2 linked regions of the Drosophila melanogaster genome follow. The protein of the gene in region 1 interacts with the protein of each later gene in a pairwise test. Each region holds a gene or a part of one and is shown on either strand. Other genes may lie near its edges.

What was found. The genes of interacting proteins can lie anywhere in the genome.
Region 2: the proteins of CG12496 (region 1) and zormin interact in a two-hybrid assay, tested with the Drosophila melanogaster proteins (one large-scale study listed by BioGRID).

What each region holds. Positions count from the first base shown.
Region 1 is NC_004354.4:2,409,253-2,413,006, reverse strand, and holds CG12496 (uncharacterized protein), read left to right. Parts: upstream 1-2,105; 5' UTR 2,106-2,210; coding exon 2,211-3,272; 3' UTR 3,273-3,642; downstream 3,643-3,754.
Region 2 is NT_037436.4:2,149,600-2,153,353, forward strand, and holds the start of zormin (zormin), read right to left. Parts: upstream 2,102-3,754; 5' UTR 2,011-2,101; intron 683-2,010; 5' UTR 491-682; coding exon 146-490; intron 1-145.

The DNA.
Region 1 (3,754 bases):
AGTCAAGTGGCTCTTGGCGACGCGCTCTCGCTCGAGCACGCGTGCAGGGGAAAGGGACGGGAGATGCAGCCCGGGCGGAGCGGTAAAAAATGCATGGGCAATTTGCATACAGCGATCGGGACTGGATCGTGACTTCGGGCTGTCCTTGAGGCAGGGTCCTTGGGCTCGTTAATTAAGCGTAAAATCGTCGCACACGAAATGCCGAAAATTCAAATTGAATTTGAGAGGTTTTCGTGTGGTTCTTTATCCATTTGTGTTTCGTTGTGTCCCAAAAAAACCGCAGAAAATGCGAGGATTATGGTAATTTTGTGTGGAAATTGCCGGTGAAGACTAGCCGGGATACGCCTTGTTAGGCAGGATGCTCGTTAAATCATATTAATCAACATGCCGGAATCCTTTCTTAGCGCTGGAAACTCTCTCAAAAACCCATTTAATCCTTTTGTGCGGCTGTGTAAACAGCAATAACTCAGCGCCACAAAGAGAATCGAAGGACTCGGGGACATAACGAGGGCAAATCGAAGGGAAAAGAGGTAAAAAGTAAGCAAAAGCAGGAGCGCATTTCGCAAAGTAAACGTTGAAAAAGAGTTGAAAAGTTGAGAAATTCGCCATTTCAGTGGATGGAACGGGGTAATCGATTAACTACCCCAGCACCCTTTTTGTGTCCCTATCCAGGATGAAAGCCGATCGGAAGATAGTCACATGAAAACATATGAAACAAAACGACTTTCACCACAAAAAAGCCGAAAAGGATAACGTGCGAAATATACGATCCCCGTTAGCGAAAATCTTTCAGCAATCGATCGCAAATAAAGATATCTCCAGGGGACCAGAACCCATTCAAAGATGCCTTTACATGCTGAACTAGATCAGAACGTCAGATAGCAAGCCACGTCGGTCACGGACACTTTGAGTGATCCAAGTCCAGGAGATGACGAGCGCCGATCACTTGAACGTCACTTAGGATCGCTGGTCGATGATCACTTGAAGATCACTCAGGGATCTCGATGATCACTTCATCTACAGCTGGTCAAGAGCCACATATGGGGGCAGTTATCTTTGATCTTGTCATCGGAAATATAATCTACTTATTGGTTCCATATTTCATATTCATATGGAGGACAGCGGCTGTGCTTTAAAATATAGATCACTACAAAGGTTATGGGAACCATTTCCTTTTACATTTACATTTCAAAGTTAAATCCATACAAGTTGTGAATTTGCATTGCATGAGGCCCATCTATTTGTAGAAAGAACACTTATTAAAAAGTTGATAATTTGATAATGCATACTGTGTACAAACTTTTCCCCTGTTGGGTGAGCAACTGACGCTTTGCACAGGACTTTTCCCAGAGTTTGTAACGTTTTTCTAATGCTTCCTTCCGGAAGTGGCAAACATTTTCAATTAAAGCCGCCGAGTATATAAATTGCATTTGCGGCCGCTAAAGAGCCGCAATTAATACTGATACCGCGCTACGACAAGTGGCTAAAATGACGAGGAGCTGTCGGCCAGGAAGTTGGACTTGGCATCGGCTAATTAGCCGGCCAACCTGACTTCCCTTCTCCCTTTTCCGTTCACTATTTTCCAGCCTGTTGCTGCTCTAAATGTCCATTCAAATGAGGGGGAGACAAGGGCGAAAGGAAGCAGACTTCCTTGAGGGGAATGAAAGCAAATTTAATAACCAAGCGCTGGCCGATAGACATCTAGATGTCATTTTCGTGTGGTGGTGCTGTGGATGAGTGCCTGGATTGGAGTGGGTGATTCTCGGCCGGTACTGCGAACTGTGGGAAAGGACGAATACCTCCAATACCTCCATCAAAATATCAGATCTCGTTGGCATAGAGATCATACTTTCATATTCTAAGCTAAGCTGCTGATATCCTCGAGCTTGTTGCTCAAGTTCCTCGAGATCCAAAGACAATTTGCTACCACACACATCCGTTGGCCAAAGAGAGTCTTTTCATCCAAGGAGAGAACGCCGGAGAGAGCGAGTGTCCTTCTGCCCGCCGGGGTGCCTCTTGCGCAACAACCCCTAGCCCCGTAACCCCTAGCCATTAACCCCTGAGCGCCGAGCGGGTATAAAACGCAGCCCGCTCCCCGTACCGCTTCAGTTTGTCAGCGAGAGCGGTCGAGAGCAGAAGACTAGCAGAGTCTAGAAGTACATCTTTTTTTTTTGTGCACCAGGAGCAGCAGAAACAGAACCACACACAACATGCTGAAGTGGACGGCATCGGCGCAGCGCCTGAACGAGATTCCCGTGCACGATCAGGATGCCAACCAGCCGCAGAGGAGGAGGCTGCAGAGGAGGCAGCGCCGTCAGCGGAGGGCCACCATTGCCAACAAGGAGAACGTGCCTGACACCGTGGGCTACACCTCCACGCCAGTGCCCATTACCCGGCTGCGCAACAGTCCCCTGGTCCTGGCGCCGCTGAGCGATATCCGGAATGTCACCCCGGAGGCGGTGGTGCGCAGTCAGGCGCCCCAAAGGGTACAGAGTGTGCGATACGCCACCACATTGCCACGTTTTGCCGAGGACTACTCGCCCAACGGACTGCCCAGTGGTCAGCACTTGGCGCTGAGGGGCCTGGCTCCGTTGGATCCCTTTCTGGGCCAGCCGCGCTATATTGTAGGCTCGGGTGCAGGAGTTAACAAACTCAAGCAGCGTAGACTGGACGAGGACTTTGTGGCCACCTTGGAGCCGGAGTTGCAGGAGACGGCAGTGCCAGAGCCACCCACCCCCAAGGTGGAAGTGCGTCCAAGCACACCGCAGCCCGCCTCCACGCAGATGGGTGATCAGACCTTGGATCGCCTAATCGATGCCATCTTGGATTCCGCCTGCAAGGCGAACGCCAGCAGCAAGAAGAAGCCGAGAAGGTCCACCTTCAATCTGCGCAGACGCACCTTGGTCAAGCAGCAAATGGAGTCGAACTGCCCCCAGGAGGTGCTGTCGCCATCCTACGCACCTGGAGACGATCCGGCCTCGGATCTGAGCTTTGGCCTGGTTCCCCTGCCCATGCACAACCTGATGCCCACTCCGGAACCGGCATCGCCCCTGGCCAAGATTCCTCACAACTTGCTTGTCCAACTGGCCACTCCAGTGGCCCCCAAGTCTGCCCCCTGCGACAACACCTTCTGCCTGGAGACTCCAGTCAAGGCCCTGAAGAGGACCCGCAAGGAGATCGTCGCCAAGGAGTCCCCCATTAAGCGCTACAAGGTCGACGAGCGCAATTACTTCGAGGTGGGATTGGCCCTGCCCTCGTCTATATATGTCTGAGCAGAGGTAATTTCAAACAGATCCTCGGAAAGCCACAAAAATGAGAAGAGAAACTAAATGCGAGATGGAGATGAAGATGGAGACGAGAAAGCGAGCAACGCTGACAAACGGGGGGAAAACGCTTAACTATGACGCTTAACTAGTTCCTAAGTCGTAAACTAATCATCTTTCAATTACTGTACATAATTTCTTAGGCCACCTTAATCACTATTTATTCCAATTACTAATATAACCATTTTTTTTTTTGCTGCTGTTATGTAGTTTTCGAATATACCTTTTTTTTCATTATTTAATTTTAAACAAATATGAATATTTATTGCTACTTTAAGTTACCCAAATAATTATTTTTTCAAAATAAAAGCATTAAATCAAAAACAATGGAGTACACTTTTCTTTTCTTTTGAAACGGGGAAAACTTTATATATCAGCTTATCATCATTAATGTCGCTTTTTTGAGTAACTTTGGCTACTTCCATGCGTAC
Region 2 (3,754 bases), on another chromosome or scaffold:
GAACACTTCTCCCGTATCTAGATAAATGTTTCTTCATGTTTGTTTCCCATTTCTTGGCCTTTTTGCTGTGTGTTTTTTGTTTGGATTCGTTTCGTTTTTTAGTTTACTATTTTTATTGTTTGCGGGGTACAAGAGTACAACTCACTTGTAGGAGCGCTATCACCAGCTGGATGGGTCCGCATCGGACGACAACGGTGCCAATGGTGGTGGCTCTCAGGGAGGAGGAGGATGGTGGTGTGGTGTGGGTGGTGCCGGTGCCGGTGCCCGTGCCCGTGGACATGGCTGTGGACATGGCCTGACTTGGAGTCGGCGACGATGATGACATTGTTGCTGAATAATTGAAGGCGTCTAGCTGGGACTGCTGAGATTGCTGGGATTGCTGCGTCTGAAGTTGGTGGCCGGTGTGCGGCTGGCGGGGATTGGGATTCGAGGAGGAGGCGACCGAGTAGAGCGAAGACATCGATGAGTCTAGGGCTTGGCGGCGTTCCATGGTTGCTTTTCTTTCTATCTGCTCGTCTCTACTTCTCTCTGTTTTCTTTTTTTTTGACTAACTTTCGAGGATTGAGTGAGTGCTTGTAGTTTGGTGTGTTTTGCGTGGGCGTTTTATAATCTCTGTCGTTTAGTTTTTCTCGTATTTTGGCTTACTTCCCCTGCTTGTGTCTCGTGTTTTGCATTTTGAACTCTGCTCGAAAAAGTGGAACTATTAGATTGAGTCACTCGCGTTCGGATTTAATTTATTGGGATTAGTTATAGCCAGGGGATTCGATTCGGCGGTTCCTTCGTTTCGTTGCGAGCGCTATCAACGCCGGCGATCGTCTGAGAACCTCCGCGAATCGGTAGATTTTCGAAACGGAGAATTCTTTTTGCCCGCCGCGATGACTATGACTTCATACTCGCGCTCTCCCTGTCGCTCTAGTGTCTGTTTATTATTCCGTAGTGTCTATATATACGGCTATATAGCCGAGAGAATCGTGTGTACTTTTTGCATATTGAGCCTGAGAAAATTGCCTTTGATGCGTGTGCTAGTCTCGTTGTAGAACCTCGGTAGCCCCCCGCCCCGCCAAAACTCAAAGACAATGCTCGATTCGCGTTTATTTTTAAAACAACAAACTATTGAGTAATTTTTTGCGGCGATTTCTGCCACGAAGCTAAACTGTTGTTCTAGCCCAGATACTCAGATACTGCGATGCTACAGATACAGGCTACTATAGCTAATAGATAAAGCGCGCGGATGTTCGTCAAATCTGTAACATGTGCCAATTGCATTGGCAGAAGTCGTCGCCAGTCAGTCATTTTTCATGGATTTTTCGATATTTTTGAATACATTACGCATACGCCGCGTATGCTCGTGTGCAGCCAGCTGCCTCCATTAGGTAATTTTTGGTGTTTCTCTCAATTTTTAATAGTCGCCGCCGTTGCTGGCGTAATGTAAACTATTTTAATTGTACTTTGCGCTGTCTAAAAATAAGCAGCAAACCAAAAATTGGGAAGAACAAGTTCCCTTTATAAAAGTTTACAGTAGCGCAATCGAGGAAATGCTTTGCCTCCATATGTTGTTGTCCAAAAAATTTAAAAGAAAAAAAAATGGAAAATTGTTGATTGAAATTTTCTGGGGCGTGGACTGTTGTAGTATATTGAAATATGCACATGACTCAAACAAATAAGCTTTCAATGCATCAGGTCACCGAATATTTTTGAAAAATATTTTTTTCGCGCATTCTGTGTCGTTTTCTATTTGTTAAACATTTTGTTTGTGCTTTCTGAGGGTCGTCACAAAACTGAATATTCGACAACAACAATAAATTTAGCACAGATTGTTGATTTCATCTTTAGACGAGTGAACGCAAAAAAAACTAGCGCCAAGCATTTTTGAATGTCAAAAATGTTCTAGGTAAATTATGGCTGATTAATTTACGTTTCATTTCGCTTTTTTTTTGAAGTGCCAAATTTATTGTTTTCTTCCTCGTTTTCTGCCTAACTTAATTTACATAGATATGTTTTTATTCGCACATTATATTCGAGCGGTGGAGATGTGGAAAATCAAAACGCGCGCGCCGCTTTCCCAACAGCCGAACAACCGAACGCCGCGAACTTCGAACAAGACTGACTAAATGATCGGAAGACTGAAGACCGGAGACCGAAGACTGAGCAGATTCTACGGGAGACAGCCGATCAGAAAGAGATAAAGAGCGTGCAGCCCATGAAACTTAACCGATTCGCTCAATTCATTCATGCAGGTAGCGGTTCTCTTGTTTTGATCTCTTGACACTGGCTAAGCTCAGTTTTGAAAAGCCGGCTTGTATTTTGAAAATGAGAGAGTGTGAAAGAGAGGGCTGGAGACGCTAGACGCTAGAGAAAGAGGCAAGATGCGGGGCTTCAGGGGAGACGACATAAATAAACAAGTGCTCTTGGCATTCGCGGCGTCGTTAATTCATGATTTCAATTTTTAATGCCCTGCGCCCGGCTTTTCAGCAATTACAATACGAAGAGAAGGTAAAGCGATATGAAGCGAGCTTGTACCCTGTAATTCTGATGATAAAGGGTAACTTTAAGCGAACTGTTGCTACCCTCTTATGCCCTCACTTTATTTATTCGCATTTACTTTTGAATATTCATCTAACTTAACATCTTATGTGTGGATGATTTTTCCCCTTGGCTAGACCTTTTCCTCGTTGGTCTTATACACCCCATATAAGACGAGGTACCTTAAACCACAACATATTCAAGTGCAGCTTTTGTACTTTAATAACATGGTGAAGAGTGGAAGATCAAAATAACAACACCAGAGCAGCGGAGGAAACCAGACGATATCGTGTCTTAATGCAAGGCAAACTGACTGACCGCCCGCATTTAAATCCCCTCACCACCCATGATGCTCTATACCCCAATTTATGAAGTATTTTTCACCCAAAATGCGTGTCTTGCAGCTTTGGCTTTGGCTCCGGATTTCGTGCAATATTCAACGTGCAACATCCGACGCTTCTTGCGTGCAACAGCAGTTGCGGCAATCAATGCGCTGCAGATGTGTGTTATTATTTTTCGCTATCAACGATTCGAACTTATCGAATTATGCTTTCAGCGCCGGCACGTCAGAAAATCTGGTCGAATGGCATGAAAAGAATCTCATAGATATTTGGTTCGCCTTTCTGGATGATCAGCTCGTTAAGTATAAACTCTTTTCACTCACTCACCACACTCAGAGCGATTTATTTATATGTTTTTTAATTGAGATTAATGAGCCACTTGACGAAGCTCACAAAAGCAGCCAACCCCTCTTAACCCCATTTCCCCGCTGCACCCACTGCCAGTTCACATTTCAGATAATTGAAATCACTTGAGGACCACTTGTTAAATGTTTGGGGGAAAGGGCCACCCACAGAGGGAAATTGAAAAAAATTATTTAGGGTGGAAAAGTCCAAAAGAGCACTCAAGGGTTAAGTGCAGATGATGGCAATGACTTTTCACGGATGCAGCCCAAAGTTATGCAATGTTTTCATGGATTTTCGAGATTACATTCAAATTTTGCAGTTACGAGTTACTTACTTGCTTAAGCATAAAATTTAAAACTAAATACCTGAAAAGTTAGGAGGTATTGAAAAAAATTATAAATGATTAGCTTTATTTTTGGGGTAAAACATGTTCGATATTAATTGCACTATGTTTTGTGACTGTGACTGTGTGGGAGAAATAGTTATAAATAAATATTAAACATATGATTAATGGCAAAAATTTCGACTGGCCGTAAGTGAATTTA